4 linked regions of the Callithrix jacchus genome follow. The protein of the gene in region 2 purifies or fractionates together with the protein of the main gene of each other region. This does not show direct contact. Links are inferred from orthologs where the notes say so. Each region holds a gene or a part of one and is shown on either strand. Other genes may lie near its edges.

Region 1 (4,015 bases), on a different chromosome or scaffold from region 2:
GCTAGTTATAAAGTTGGCAGAGTTCTCAACCTGAGCACTGATGACATTTGGGGTCAAAAATTTTGTGTGTGTGGATATTATCCTGTGCATTGTAGAAGTTTAGCAGCAACCCTGGTCTCTACCTGTTAGATGCCAGTAGCACCCTTTCCGGGTTAGGGTAACCAAAACTGTCTCCAGGCACTGTCAAATGTCCCCTGGGAGGCAAAATCACTTGAGAACCACAGAGTTAAAGTAAGATTACACAAATGAAAACCCAGCTCACAGTTAGGAAGAAAAACTTAACAGCTGTTTTTAAAAGGGTAGTAATGTGATATATAATTCAAAATTATGTCCACTGGCTAGCCTCTATATAGTCTTATTCTAAGAAGAATCGGTATCAAAATCTTCAAGAAAAAAAGGATTCAGCAACTAACAGAGTTTGAAAACAAGAGTATTAGGGGAAGCCCCAAATATTACTTCATCTAGAGAATTCTTCTGTCCTCTGGTCATAATACATGCTTTTTAGTTAATAGTTTGTGATACTAGAAAAGGACAAAACTAATGGGGACACAGAGCACTTTGCCCTCCTCAGCTGAGATGGCCTAGCAGACAGCTGCAGAACAAATTTCAATCACAAAGATAATGTTGTGAAACAGATACTCAAGTTACCAGAATAGAGAAATAGCACAAACCCATGTAATAGGTTGCAAGCATGTTTTACGGGATAAAGTGATTTAATTTTTAAATTATGGCAGGCCTGAAAAAAAATTAAAGACTTGCCTTTCTTGCTGGTTGCTATTTTGGAAGCAATAAAGACACAGCTCATATAAAACTGTATTTCTTCTGCCAATTCACGTTTGGCTGTAGAATTTTCTCCTCTTCCCTCTCCGGGCTCTTGACATCCCGCTAGCATCCCAAGACAAAGGCAGAACTACAGGGGAGTGGCGCTCAGACCCCTGTGGGTCTTTTCTCAGGCAGAGAGAGAATCAGATTCTCCACCTGGAACCCATAGAGGAAGGATCGCCAGAACACACAGCTTTTAAAACATATCTTTACCCACACGTACAGAAGGACAGGTTAAAATATATTCTAGTCCTCTTTCTCTCACTTCAAATTCCATCAGTGTTGTAAATTGGCTCATCCTACGCCCCTTTCTTCTTTCCTTTAGACCAGTGGCTCTCAAAGTTGGATGTGATCAGCATCCCCGGGGAACAGGTTAGAAATGCAAATCTTCAGCCCCTACTCCAGACTTAGGGACTCCCCTAAAGTCCAGGAACCCCTGATTTAGGCCAGTGTTCTTTCTAGAATCATAAAAATTGTTTCTTAGAGAAAGCAAAACTGCAATTCTCATTCCATCCTCAAACCTGCTGCAAGGTAGGTATTAGCCCCACGTTAGGGATGAGGAAACCGGCTCTGGGGTTACAAGTCGGCCCAAGGTCTCAAAGCTAGTCACTGCACGGGGAAGGTTAAAGTGTTTGCACTTCTTTTCACTACTGAAACAAATTTATCGCAAGTTGTTAACATCTGGATTTCTTGCTGGTTGGCTGGTTGGGTTTTGTTTTTGCTCTTTCAGCTTTCGTCAATTCGGAAAAATATAAAACCGAGTGGGTGAGAGGAGTGTGCCACATGCCTCGGTTCTTCCCGAGTCGGAATTTAAGGGCAGGACTCTGGAAAGGTGTTTTTCCAGTAAAGATCGTTTTGTTCTGCTGCGGCCCGTCCTGTCTTTGAGGGAAATACACTCTGTCCCCCACAGCAGACACACAAGCGGCCAGAGCTGCACGGCGGGGCCGCGGGCATCCCGACGCGACAGGTTGTCTGCGGGAAGGGAGCCCGTCAGCCGGGGCCCGGCGCGCCGCGGCTCGGGGCTGGGGAGACTGGTTTACGGGGCAAACTGGAACACCCCAAAGCCCGGGGGACGCCCGGGCCTACGCCGCAGCTCGGGAAGGAGGGGGCGAGTGGTGAACCCGAAACCGCTGAGGGCCGCGCGGCCAGAAACCACACGGACCGCTAGGGTGGCAATGAAGATCCGGGAGGAGCGCGCAGGCTGTAGAGGAGAGAGTGGGCGAGGACCCGGGAAATGGAAATGGGGCGGGGAGAACGGGCCGGCACTCACTGTGAGGGTCGCTCTTCTCCCGGACCCCGTCCACTCGGCCGTCGGGGTGGATTCGCAGGAAGAAGCCCCCGTTTTTGCAGTACAGCCGCTTGGGGTCTTTGAAGTGGCCGGGCGGGAAGGCGCCGCTACCGCCGTCCTCGGGCAGGGCGGGCAGCGTGGTGATGCTCCCGGCTGCCATGGTCCCTCCGGGACCCTGCCGGGGACCCCGAGCCGCTGGAGCCGAGCGGGGAGCCGCCGCCCCCCGGCCACGGCCCCGGCCTCCGACCCGCTCCAGGGCACGGCCCCGGCCCCGGCCCCCCAGCCTCCCGCCCGGCAGTGCGCGGCCGCGCCCGCGGGCCCCCAGCCTCGCGCCGCTTGGCCGCTCTTCTGTCCGCCGGCCTCTGGTGCGCCGCGAGCCGGCGGCCCGAAAGCTGGGGTTCAGGAAAGGGTGTTTCCGCGGCCGGCGCCTGGGGAGAGCCGCCCAGCAAACTGCAGCGCCCGGGATCCCGTTGCAACCGCGGGCACCGCGTCCGCTGATCTGGCACCCGCCGGGCCGCGGCGTCACATCTTCTACATCTCCACCCCCGACACCCACCAGCCACCCGCGCCCCCGGCTCTCCTCCCTCCTGCGCGCCGCCCCCCTACTCGCTCGGGGTTTTCTGGGGCCGGCCTCTGAGTCCGGCGCTTCGGCCACAACACGCAAGCGCGACATCTGTCCCGGGGACAGCCGGGTGGGGGAGGGGCGGGGGGCGCGCCGGAGGCCGCAGCAGGACCCCGGTAGTCCCGGGGCTCCACGGTCCCTTGTCCCCCAGAAGTCACCCCCGCCCAACCCCGCACCACCCAAACCATGTTTAGGCTTTCTCTACACTGCGGGGCTTTTGCTGCGCAACCAGCCGTGACTCAACTTTTAAAAGTTTAAATACAACTTTCTCCCCCATTTTTTCCCTTGCTAGCGTTTCAAAACGGGGAAGCTGTTTCCACCCCAAAGTAGAGAAGTCGGAATCCAGGGAAGATTCTGTGTCAGAACAGGCTCTGAAAATCTCTAAATCACCAAAAGACGAGGGGTACACGTGGGGCATGAACTGTTTAAAAATAAAGGACAGAGACTAAAGTCGTCTATCAACAAAAGGAAAGAAAGAGGCCAGAGAAGGGAAGCAGATTGGGTTACTGACCCAACTTGAATTAGACAACACAGAAAGGTGAGGATGAGGCCCAAATCCTTATCGCGATAGAAGCGCATTAATGTCTTAACTCGGAGCTGGCATTTGCCCTAGCTGAATTGTTAATACATTTCTTGGAGACAGAGTTAATTTCTGTAAATCCCAAATGTAAATTTGAAGTTTCTTGCATTTTGGTAATTTTCAGTAGGATATAGCAGGTGCGACAGATGATTAGCAAACTTGCAGGGCTTTTGCTGCGCAATCAGCCGTGACTCAACTTTTAAAGGTTTAAATACAACTTTCTCCCCCATTTTTTCCCTTGCTAGCGTTTCCAAACTTGCTAATCATCTGTAGCACCTGCTATATCCTACTGAAAATTACTGTTTCACTCAGTGAGGGAGATAAGATGGGTAGCATGAGTAACACAAATACCAGTAGAAAGTAACTAGACCATAGAAGAGTAAGACTATGTGCTGTGACATTTCAGACATGGGGTAACTCAGTTGGGGAAGCAGGAGATTTAGGGAAGCTTCTAGAAGGAGTTGCAAGTGCTTCCTTGTAGAAACATTAGGTTTCAAAAGGTCATGTATAAGTGCATTTTTCTCAAATCTCCAAGAGGGCTTTAACTCCAGATTCATTTCTAGAATGTTAAATATAGGAGTGTGAGTAAATTCTCCGAAGCTTTAAAACCAGGCATACTCTTCTTTCTTCTTGCAGCTAGTGTATGTTCTATAGAGAAGGGGGAAAAAAAATTCCTCATTCATTACTAGGTTTATGGCTGAAG
Region 2 (3,500 bases):
TTGAACCCGGGAGGCAGAGATTGTAGTGAGTCATGTAGAAAATGTAAAAAATAGTGGTATATAATCCGGGCCTGGATGACAGAAATCATAAGTGGGTAAATACCAAAATGATCAAAAAGAGTAAGGAAGAGCCATTTATAACACTACCACGAAAAGACCATTTGTCCTTATACAATTTTAAATGGGGCCTCTTAAAAGAACTGCTGTGATACATAGTTCTTGATGGGTAGCTCCAAAAAGAAGAAAATGAAATAATGAAAAAGGGACTCTCATATACAGTCAGTAAAGTGAAGCATTTATAATAACCTGATAATGCAATGCAATCCAATGCAATGCAAAACAGAACACACCTTTGTCTGAGCAGGTATCTTGTTCTGTATATTCAGCGTCATGGTTTCCACTTTTGGAGCAGCACTAGTGAATGGTATCTTTGGCAGTGGTCGAGATGTTGTCAGCTCTGGACTCTCTACGTCCTCATCAGCTCCTGGAAAAATAGGCAATCATGACACAGATGTCTCCATGATCAGGTACTATTGCCTGAGTTGACACTGACAGAATCATGTTCTTTCAAAATGGGGGCTCCTTAAGACTTCAGCACAAAGCTTCCTGTGGTCTTCACACCATGAGGAAGAAGAGATTTCAAAGGTGTCTGTGGGTAGCCTGGCAAGTTTTTCCTTAATATTATTATCCTCAACACTCAAGTATCCCTTCTTTCACTTGCATGTTTCATTCTCCCTGCTTGACAAGATTTTTTCCAATCTACACGGAAACATGTTCCATTTCCGTTTTAAGAATACAACAGGCGGGGTGTGGTGGCTCACATCTGTAATCCCAGCACTTTGGGAGACCGAGACAGGTAGATCATGAGGTCAGGAGATTGAGACCATCCTGGCCAACATGGTGAAACCCCATCTCTACTAAAACTACAAAAATTAGCCAGGCGTGGTGGCGCGCAACTGTAATCCCAGCTACTCCAGAGGCTAAGGCAGGAGAATTGCTTGAACCTGCAAGACGGAGACTGCAGTGCGCCGAGACTGCACCACTGCACTCCAGCCTGGCCAATAGGGTGAGATTACGTTTCAAAAAAAAAAAAAAAGAACATAACAAAACAAAACACAAAACAGGAAAACCCTCCCATGGCTGACTCCTTATTTCATGTGAGTTCCTGACCTCTCTCCCCATTTTACAGGCAGATTCTTCCAATGGGGGTGGTACTCACTAGCTCTTGTCCTCATCATCTTCTCCACACTACATTCTACTCCCTCCAGGAGCATTTTCCCTGTCATCACTATTACTACTGTATTGTTAAGGTCACAAGTATCCACAGTACCCAATGGCACTTTTCAGAATCGCCTTCCTCTTGTAGAACTTCCTAGCACAATCACACATTGTCAAGTGCCATCTGAAAAACCCTATTTCTTTGGGCTCTTATGAGTTCCTGGCTTCCCCCTCACCTTTCTGGCTTTTCTAAGTCTCCATTCTGGTTTATCCTCTTCTACCTGAACACCAAATATCAAAGAGTGTCTGAAGGTCTGTCCCTAGGTCTCTTCTTACTCTACACTTCTTCCCTCATCCATGTCCATAACTTCAATAAGGGATGATCTAAGCACAGATGATACCTAAATTTACATCCTTGGCTTTTACCACCCCTCTCAAAGTCAGATTCATATATCCAGTGGGCTACCTGGCATTTTCACTTGAATGACTAAAAGGTACAACATACCTCTAAACATGTCCAAACCAGAACTCATGATCCTTTTGTCTTCTCCCCATGTGACCTTGTAGTGACTGAAACCCTCTGTTCCTATACACCAAAAACTCTGACTTCCTCTTCCTCACCTTGTTTTTGAATCCATTATCCAGTCCTATTATCTTCTTATTATCCCTCCACTCCTAACACCTTTCTATAGTTCCAGAACCACCACTGCAATCCAAGCCACTGTGACCTTTCCATAAACCACTGTACCTGCCTTCTTCCTAACAGGCCCCATTCAGCCCAGTCCTCTGGCCACAAATTGTCTACTGACTTCATCATCCCCTTGTTTAAAGATCTTACAATGGTCCCCCACTGCTCTTGGAAAAAATATATTAAGAAATGCCTCAGCCCAGGCTTGTGTGATCCAGCCCCTGACTCGCCTTCTCAGCTTCCTTGAGCATCATTTACCATGTGCTCCAGCCATGGCATCCTAATCCTTCTGCCAGAAAATCTCACCTACTTAATTCCTAATCTACCCCCAGACCTCAGGGAAAACCTACCCTCTGTATTAGGTCAGAGATCTCTGTTAAATGGTTTTTTAGCACCACCCTTCTTACCCTGATTGCACTTATTGCAAATTTATAATTATGCATTTGTGTGTGTAACTATTAATTAAAGTCTCCCCTACAAGACTGGAAACTCTGTAAGGCCAAGGAATTGCTCGCTGAGGGCCTAACATAGTGTCTAGGACATAACAGACTCTGATCTGGTATTTGTTCAACAAGTGACTTTCTGGGCATGATTTCTATTTGTTGTTGCTTTTTCACCAGAATAGCATTTGAGAATTTCTGACATTCAAATAAAACATTCCTTTTAAGTTGATCATTTGTCAAATTTGTAACAACTCAAACGAACTCAAACTCTAACAATAACCAGGCTTCCTCAGACAACAATGAATGATAAATACCTCTAAATTCCTCAAACAAAAGAAATTGGGTATTTTCCACAGAATAGTATCAATGCACTAAGCAGGTAGGAGAGCAACAGGTGACATGCTGGAAACATGTGCAATGGCTATGGTTCATTTCTTTCTTTTTCTTTTCTTCCTCTGTCACCCAGGCCAGAGTGCAGGGGTGCGATCATGGCTCACTGTAGCTTTAAACTTGCAGGCTCAAGCAATCCTCTCACCTCAGCCTCCTGAGTAGTTGGAACTAAATGTATGCGCCACCATGCCCAGCTAATATTAAAAAAAAATTTTTTGTAGACATGAGGTCTCAACTATGTTGCCAGGCTGGTCTCAGGCTCCTGAGCTCCAGGGATCCTCCTGCCTGGGTCTCCCAAAGTGTTGGGATTACAGGTATGAGGCAATGTGCCTGGCTCCTGGATGGTTCTTTTCTTAATATATCAACTGTCTCCTTTAATTTCAAAACATATACATTTACTATTATAGAGAAGAAACGGCAGGGCATGTTGGAATAAATGCAGAGTTTGGTATTTAAAAAGCAAACAAATCTACTACTGGTTTTGGCATCTATTAGCTCTGTACTCTTAGGCAAGTCATACTTGAGTCTTATTTTCTTCATCTGTAAAAGGAGCTTCTAATAACTAACCCATAAAGGTACATATATGTCACAGATACGTATCTCACAGACAGATACATATTTAAAGCATTCTGTATGCATGAACTGTTATATATACAGTTAATTAATAATGATGGGTCCAGAAATAGTACACTTTTTTATCAGCTGACTTAATTATCCATCAACATTTTACATATAATTTGCTTGATTTGTCCCTACAATGA
Region 3 (4,136 bases), on a different chromosome or scaffold from region 2:
GCTGGCCAAAGGGTAAGAGGGGAGAAAAAGGAGAGGAGCAGCTCTCTCCACACCCACAGCCCCAGGTCGGCTTCCCCTGGCAGTGGCCTTGTTGCTCACCACTGTCCTCTGGGCCCTGACTATGGGGTCCCTCAGGAGAGACAGGGTCTCTGCTGGGGAAGGAGCTGGCTGGCAGCTGAGGAAATGGCCCAGTCACTGAGGCTTCCTCGCCACCCAGCTGCTCAGGGGACTGGTTCACAGGCTCCTGGACCTGCAATGCCTGTTCCAAGCTACCATCCGGGATGGGACAAACTGTCCAGGATAAGTTTGGGAGAAAGGGAGCTAGGATGTGGAGGGTGTGGGTCTGATTCTGTTCCTGCCGACAGGCATGTCTCCACCTACCTCTGGGAGGCTTTGTCCTCATCTGCAAGTGAGACACAGTATGTGGTCCCTTCCTGCCTAGCCACAGCTGCCATAAGAGATAATGGCTCTGCAAGCATTCTGCATAACACCAGGCTGTGCTGAGGTGAGGGCCTACAATTACAAACTCCTGGGACCCTCAAATACCTTCTACTTGTCGCCCCACCCATTGAGAACGGTGGAAGGCCCAGTGCAGGGCGAAGGCAAAGGCCAGTAAAGGGCAGTGAACTTGGCACGAGTGGAGATGCGGGTGACTAAAGAGGGGAACTGGCCGGGCGCGGTGGCTCACGCCTGTAATCCCAGCACTTTGGGAGGCCGAGGCGGGTGGATCACGAGGTCAAAAGATCAAGACCATCCTGGTCAACATGGTGAAACCCCGTCTCTACTAAAAATACAAAAAAATTAGCTGGGCATCGTGGCACGTGCCTGTAATCCCAGCTACTCGGGAGGCTGTGGCAGGAGAATTGCCTGAACCCAGGAGGCGGAGGTTGCGGTGAGCCGAGATCGCGCCATTGCACTCCAGCCTGGGTAACAAGAGCGAAACTCCGTCTCAAAAAATAAAAAAAGAAAAGAGAGGAACTTGCCTCACCCCCAGAGCGTAAGATCTTTTCTTGCTCAAGAGCCCTGATTCTACACACCTCCTCCCTACCTATGGCCCCAGACCACTTCTAACTCCATCTAGAGGAGGCTGACCGCAGACCCCCATGGCTGGTTCATACTGGGACACCAGGAGTCGAGTCAAAGGCCCAAATCTCAAGCCTCTCTCCTAGCAGGGGAGGTCTAGGGCTCCACAGCAATCCTGGGCTGAGCAGCACAGATCCCAACAGCCAGCGCCATCCCCGAGCCTGCCAAACCACTCTCCAGGGCTGTTCGGGCTCACTGAAGGTGACACATGGGCAGTAACCTCTATGCTCTCAGAGGCCGGTCCTAGAAGACTCAGCTCCCTACTGGCCCTTTCTCTAGGGGCCAGCACCGCACATTCATGTAGGAATCAAGCAAAAGCCAGAGCAGACCACTCCACAGCCACTCCCACCAACTCCGAGATTCTGAGCACCCCATCTCACCTCCCGACCAGGAGCCCCTCACACACTGCCAGGACTGCCTCAGTAGGCACCGAGGTGTCCACGGTTTTGACCCACAAGTATCAGATGCTCTTACCATCTCACCACCAAAGGGTCTCTGGTTCTTGGCTAGATCTATACCAGTTGTCCTACTGCTGACCCAAACAGGGCCAGGGAGGGACCCACCCAGAGGACACCCTTTCTGGATGGCACAGACCTCCGGACACTGCAGACCTTGCACCAGGCATCTTCAGTGAAACAATAGGGGATGTAGATAATCGGGCTGTAGCTACAGACTGCTGCAGGGGTGGGAGCAGTAAGCACGATCTGGTCATCAAAGTCAGGGTGGGTCCTTTCTTAGCCACAAGGCCTGGGGGCAGACAGCAGGCAGACATTCCTCTGCAAGCGCACAGCCAGGCAGCTAAGCCCTCACTAAGACAGACACTGCCGCACCACGTTGCCTGCTCCAATGGTGCAGAGATGCTTACTAGAGTGAGAGACGAACCAAAGGGTGCAGGAGCACACGCAGTGCAGGCAGCTGCCCCAGACTGAACCCTGCACAGACCTGACGAAGGACACCCCATGCTCCTAAGGAGGCTCAAAACATAGACCAGGAATGAGCAAATAGCAAACAACAGATACAGTCAAGCCCCCAGCTGTGGGATGCCAGCCAGCAATGGTTGTGCCCAGATGTCAGACCCCCAGTGAAAGGGATCTAGATGTGGGGTGCTGGAAAGAGGAGCTAGCCACAGGAGAACAGCCTGAGCCCGCCGGTAAAGGCACAGGCGCCAGTCAGAGCGGCCAGTCCGCAAAGCAGTCAGTCCCACACCCCCCCACTCCATTCACACACGCTTCGCACGCAGTCGTAGCACATGTACACGCTGACACGTGCATACACACCTCTTGCTGCATCCACACCATGCCCACTGCTCTGACAGGACAGCATCCCTGGCACAGACATCTCAGATCCACCCCCCCACCTCCCTACCCCACCTTCCAAGCCAGCCGGCCCTGGAACTGAGGTTGAGGGGCACCACTGCAGAAGGATGCCGGAGGAGGTGGCCCCCCTCTGAGGGACCAGCCGCTTGGGCGAGAGGTGGCGGGACAGAGCCTAGCATCTATCCTGAGGCCAGGAAGCACACTCACCTGGAGCTGCAGTGGAGGCCTGCGGGCTGGCCCGCTTCTTAAAGGGATATTTGGCCTTGGGCTTGCCAGAGCCAGATGGATAGGATGCCATGGCTGGGACCACGGCGGCGACAGCGGGGGAGTCTGAGCGGCACCGGTTGGGGCCTGGCTCTGCCACATCCAACCCCTTCCTCCGCCCCGCCCCCAGCGGGAGTGACTGATGCAGGAAGCAGCGGCTCCGCAGGCGGAAGAGGCCTTGGCCACGATTTCTCCTGTTGTCTAGGCAACCTCGGGAAGTGGGGCCTCTATCTCTGCCCCTTATTCCTCCCCTCCCTCCTCAGTCCCTGGAGTGACGTGACTGATGATGTCTGGGCCTGGCAGGGGGCGGGGGAGTGGGTGGGCAGAAAACAAGACGGGGAAGGGCCAGCCCCCAGATCTCCACTAAGTCCCCAAGAGCCCTCACCCCATCATGCCAGGGCTCCAGGGCAAACAAGCCAAAGTCCAGGCTAGCTGGTCCTTCCAAAAAGAATAACAAACAGGAATTCAGCCGCGAGCGAGCCCAAGCTCAAATACAGTCCTCCCGGGGCAGGGCAGGCTTACATACTCCGTGAAAACCCAGCACCCCTTTTCCTTCCCCATCTGACCCTCAGCTTCAGGGGCAGCCCAGCTCTGGGAGGAGGGGAAAGAACCGAGAATCCCAGCCCAGGAGGGAGGAGCTCGTGCTGGGAAAATTCCACCGTCGCCAAAAAGGTGCCTCCTAGGAAGGCCAGGAGACTCCCTTATCTGGGGGTCTGGGACAGAGACCCCAGCCTCTTCGGATTTTTCCTCTGTCTCTGCACACTCTGACTCTGCTCCCCAGGCCCTCCTAGGAGGACCTGACCGCCTTCCCTAGGTACTGCAGGCTGCGCTGGGACTCCCACTCTCTTGGCACCCTGGTCACAGCACTTCTCTGTCCCAGAGACCCTCCCTCCAAAACCCGCACACACACTCACCTGAGGCCATGCTGCCTGAGTCCCGAGGGGAGGCTGCCCACGAGGGTCTGCACAGCAGAAATCCTGGGTCCTGAGGGAGGGCAGGGGGGTCGGGGCCCAGACCCCGGCCAAGTCGTTCCAAGGGCCCTCGCCCGGGCACTGAGATGGGGGAAGTAAGGTAGTCTTTCAAAATTGTCAGCTGGCCGGAGGCGGACTCCCGCAGACCTCGGCAGCCGGACTGGCCTCAAGGCGACCCCGGCGTCGCGACCACCCAACCCCGCAATCGAGAGGCAAGTGGGCCACGTGCTCCCAAGAGAGCGGGACCCGGAACTCGTCCACGTTTCTCTCAACACTCCCTAGGCATTTACGGTCGGACTTCTGCGGCCGGACTATGGGGGAATCACGCAACAGGTGCGACCCTACCAAAATCTCGCCGGCTACGCGCCAGGCTCTGCGGCCCTTGGCCCCGCCCACTCCTGGCCCCGCCCACGCCTGGCGACCCCGCCCCGCCATTTTTCCTCTTCCTGGGCGCCACGTGGGCAGCCACCACACCGCGGTAGGGCTGGCCTGAGCCGACCAT
Region 4 (3,994 bases), on a different chromosome or scaffold from region 2:
GGGCTGGGTTTCCTGCTGCGATGAACATGCCGAAGCCCAAGCCCTACCTAACTCACAGCTGATGTCACCCACAGGACCAGGGGAGCTGAAGACTTCACTCGAAGTCTGTCAGGAGGCAGGGCCGAGGTTCTAGACCACCATCCAGTTGCTTCAGGGGACCAGTCAAGGGGCTGCTTTGACTGAGCCTCAGACTCCAGCTAAATCATGGTAGAAATTCCTACAGCTGAATTTTGCCCATCTAATGAGGGAGTATCGGGGGGAGGTCTTTCCAGGCTTGGGGGTGGGCATGCAGTCCAGTGCTACATCCTGAAAGTTTAGCTTTCAACATGCAGGCAGAGTCAAAGGCCAATTGTCTCCTCCAAAGCACTTGGGGTCCCAATCTCTGAACCCCTAAAGGAGAATCCACTGGAGGCTCTGCTTCCCAGTGGGTGGAGGAGGGGAAATGCAGAGGAAGGCACTAGAGTAAAGGGTTGCTATGGTGATGGAAGTTTTAAAACAAGGGGAGGGGGAGGGGAGATGTGTTGGTTAGGTCCCTTCTTCAAGAATTTCCTGAGACTTTAGCCTGGCTTCTTCTTCAAGGTTCTGTGACCCAGGTCCCCATCAAGAAAGGGGATGTGGGGAGACTGAGAGAATTTAGAAAAAAAGAGAATGGGGCAGAGACACAGAGAGACAAAGAACTTGTGATGGAAAAGGAGCAAGGAAATGACAAAATAAAAGGGACACAGGCACAAAGGGCAGGAAAGGGTAGGTGGACGGGAGTTCTGAAGGGGGCTGAAGAGTGCCCAGCAGAGCCCTAAGGCCTCTAAATCCCTGGGCCAGGAGCTATCCATGGTACCTGGACCTTTGAGACTGCACCCTCCAGTATCCCCCACATATACACTGAACTCAACGTAGGAAGCACAGCCAAAAGGAGGCCAGCTCCTTAGAGCATCTTGGTGGGGAAGAGCCCAGCTGCTACAGCGCCCGCCCCCCCCCAGTCAGGACAGTTCCCAGCCCCTCTCTCTGCCATCACAGCAGCTTAGGTATGGCAAGTCCAACATGTTGAAGGCAGATGCATGGGGGGATGGAAATGAGGCTCGGATGCCTGGCTGCTTCCCTTTATAGTCCCTCTTCTCAGTTGGCCCAGCTGTACCTAGACCCTCCCAACCAACCCCTTCCCCCACCTGCTATCCTCTCCAGGCTTTCAGTCCCCAGAGCCCCTCTTACAGCTCTGCTTAATCCCCTCTCTCCACCCCCCCCAACAGCAGATCCTGCCATGAATGCCAGAAACGGCATCACAAGCAACCCAAAAACAGGATAACAACTGCACAGCCCTTCTCCTCTCCATGCCTCAGTTTCCCCGAATAGAAACCATGGAATCTGGCCTTCTCCCAGGGCAGAGTACTGCTTGCCTGCCTGTGAGTAGTGGCTAGGGCGTGGGGCTGGAGAATAGGGTCATCAGAGCTATGTGAACAGCCAACCTAGGAGGGCACCTGGGAGGTCCACACCAAATGCTGTATTAGAAAAGGGAAACCCTTGCCCCACCCTGGAAACCAACCTGATTCTGAGGGGAGTGGAGACACCAATTTCTCAGTTGAGGAAACTGAGGCTCAGAAGTCGCTGAAGCTGCCAATAATCAACTCTGAGGCTGGGGGAGAACACCAGGTCTCTGAAGGTAGTCCTGGGGGCTCAAAGCCTGAGGTTGGGGATAAGGGGAGTACAGCACAGGGACTGGACTACTGCAGACTCTAAGCTTTTAGTGTGGGACAGAAGGCCCTGATCCTTAGGAAGAAACCTAGTGGAGCAGGCTCTGCCTGGGAGGTGCAGACAAAAGCAATTTGGCAGAGCTATGCGGGGAGGGGGCTGGGACTCAAGAGCCCAGGGTCTCTGCCAGACAGTACAAGCTGGGGAAGGCAGCTTATGCTGTCACTATCCCTGCCACCTCCAGCCATGGGCCCTGCTCCCCACCGTGGTGCCACCCTGACCCCCTTCCCAAGTGCTGCTGGCTCGCCCCCGCTGGCACAGCAACACACATGCGGAAAGCACACGTGTGAGCACTAAGCCCCGCACCTCCCAGCAGGAGCATGTGCGCCCCCACCCCCACCGTGCACGCGGGTCCGTGCATTGGACCCCCGGCTGGTCCCCAGGTGAAGGCTCAGAAGCTGAATTTTGGCTGGGGGCTGCTGGTCCCCAGGGGCTTGGAGCCTCCTCCCCCACCCCGCGGCAGCCCCGCCCAGCCCCCTCCGGGTTGTCGCCCATAAAGAACTCTCCGTTGTCATGGAAATTAGTGACTGCTAAGCAGGAGGGAAGGGGCCCGGGGACAGTTGGGAGGGGCTGGAGGCGGCTCTGGGAACGCGGAGGGACGTCTCAGCTCTCGGCCCCTACCCTCACAGGGGACCACGAATCTTCGAAGGTTAATCTTTTCATAACTCCAAGCCGCAGAGGCTTCCCCCTGGGACCCCCAAGCCGTCTGAGGTAATGGGGAACTTTAGCCCGACCCCGCACTCCGTCCCCCAGATCTGCAAAGCCCGCGCGCTCTGACCCCGCCAGGACCTCGAGCCCTCGCTGCGCCTCCGCGCACTCGGCATCCGGAACCTCAAGCCAGGGAAACAAACCCCCAAGGCCCCCCAACGTGCTTTCGGGAAGCGCCCCCAGCCCGGCCCGCCCCGCACCTGCAGCGCCGGTTGGTCACAGGGAGGAAGTGATCGCGGGCTCAGCGGGGCGCCGAGGGCTCCAGGGACGGCGGGCAGAATCCGCTCCGAGCACGCGGGGCAGACGCGGCGCCAGATGCAGCCGCTTCGGCTAGCGAACCTCCAGCATCGCCAGCCGCTTGCCGGCACCGGATTCGCACCCCGGGCCGGGGGCGGGCTGGGGGCGGGGCCTTCCAACCGGCCCCGCCCCGACCCTGGCGGAGCCTTAAGGGCAGAATCCCACTGGAGAGCAGGCGCGCGCGGGATGGCACCGGTGCTGGTGAGCACTGGCCTGCTTAGCCCTGGCCAAGGTCCTCAACGGCTCCATTAGGCCCTCAGACTGGGGCCGGAGGAGGCTTCCTATGTTCAATGTAAGGGGTGGGGAGTGAAGAGTTAGGGGAAAGCCTAAGTCTTGGAGTTGCGGAGGATCCCTTGCCAGCCATTATCTCTAGGGGACCCGGGCTTCGCCCAGCTTCCCGAACCCGACCCAAAAGGCAGGACCCGCTTAGAAAAACCAGATGGGCAGTCGGGCTAGGGCAGGCTCCCCTACAGACTAGCATCCTCTAGTTAGGAGCAGTAAACACACAGAGGTATGTGTTTGCAAGTAGTCAGTGTGTATATAGTGAGGGCCCTAGACTCTGGTAGCAAAGTCTCTATCCCACCCCACCCCCAACTCCTGCAAGGCCTCTGGTCTTTCCCAACCATAAGTCCCAGCCAGGGTGTCTGGCAGAGTCAGCCCCCTCCTGTGTGGCACCAAATTTCCCAAACTATAAAAGTGACCTGTGACATGGTGTGGCCTCTGCTTTCTTTTCAGTCTAATCACTCTAAAACACTTCCTGAGTAGCCTCACTCTAGGTGGCCGGGCCTGGGATATGGGGACACAGGAGAACTGTGGCACCAAGGTATCCCAACTGGCTTGGGCCCTGATAAGAGGGAGGAGGCTCAGAACCACCAGGAGGAAGCTTTGAAGCAAGTCCTTGGTCATTTCTCTGTCCCTTGTCAGTGAGGCTCATGGACCCAAAGCTGGCTCCATGCCACTCACAAGCCCTGAGGACCATCCTAAGGCCAGTATATGAAAGCCAGACTCAGGCCTCAGTGTCTGGAGCTGGGCTCTATCTTGCCCCACTCCTCCCAGTGAGCCTCCCAATCCTGCTGCAGAAGAGGGAGTTGGGGTCACCCCCAAACCCTCAGCCATCTTGAGGCTCCCCTGCATGGCAACCCATGGCTGATGACAGGAGGGACTGCTGGTTTAGGGCTCAGACTGGAAGGCTAATGTAGGAAGTGACCACCTCAGACAAGGTTCTTCCAAATATTCCTCCAGAGGG

What was found. Proteins that work in one complex are often made in the same cells at the same time.
Region 1: the proteins of SDC2 (region 2) and FGF2 purify together in Homo sapiens (affinity purification with mass spectrometry; 4 studies listed by BioGRID and IntAct, counting the BioPlex papers as one, with this or other methods). This does not show direct contact. The link is inferred for Callithrix jacchus from reciprocal best matches to the Homo sapiens genes SDC2 and FGF2.
Region 3: the proteins of SDC2 (region 2) and AMPD2 purify together in Homo sapiens (co-immunoprecipitation; 3 studies listed by BioGRID and IntAct, counting the BioPlex papers as one, with this or other methods). This does not show direct contact. The link is inferred for Callithrix jacchus from reciprocal best matches to the Homo sapiens genes SDC2 and AMPD2.
Region 4: the proteins of SDC2 (region 2) and CAMKV purify together in Homo sapiens (affinity purification with mass spectrometry; 3 studies listed by BioGRID and IntAct, counting the BioPlex papers as one, with this or other methods). This does not show direct contact. The link is inferred for Callithrix jacchus from reciprocal best matches to the Homo sapiens genes SDC2 and CAMKV.

What each region holds. Positions count from the first base shown.
Region 1 is NC_133504.1:74,801,083-74,805,097, forward strand, and holds the start of FGF2 (fibroblast growth factor 2), read right to left. Parts: upstream 2,801-4,015; 5' UTR 2,784-2,800; coding exon 2,093-2,783; intron 1-2,092. UniProt on the Homo sapiens protein: Acts as a ligand for FGFR1, FGFR2, FGFR3 and FGFR4. Also acts as an integrin ligand which is required for FGF2 signaling. Binds to integrin ITGAV:ITGB3.
Region 2 is NC_133517.1:30,649,788-30,653,287, forward strand, and holds part of SDC2 (syndecan-2), read right to left. Parts: intron 485-3,500; coding exon 351-484; intron 1-350. UniProt on the Homo sapiens protein: Cell surface proteoglycan which regulates dendritic arbor morphogenesis.
Region 3 is NC_133508.1:147,514,531-147,518,666, reverse strand, and holds the start of AMPD2 (AMP deaminase 2), read right to left. Parts: upstream 2,801-4,136; 5' UTR 2,766-2,800; coding exon of another isoform or gene 2,698-2,765; coding exon 2,607-2,697; intron 2,436-2,606; exon of another isoform or gene 1,558-2,435; intron 1-1,557. UniProt on the Homo sapiens protein: AMP deaminase plays a critical role in energy metabolism. Catalyzes the deamination of AMP to IMP and plays an important role in the purine nucleotide cycle.
Region 4 is NC_133516.1:32,480,156-32,484,149, forward strand, and holds the start of CAMKV (caM kinase-like vesicle-associated protein), read right to left. Parts: upstream 2,801-3,994; 5' UTR 2,652-2,800; intron 1,676-2,651; 5' UTR 1,538-1,675; intron 1-1,537. UniProt on the Homo sapiens protein: Does not appear to have detectable kinase activity.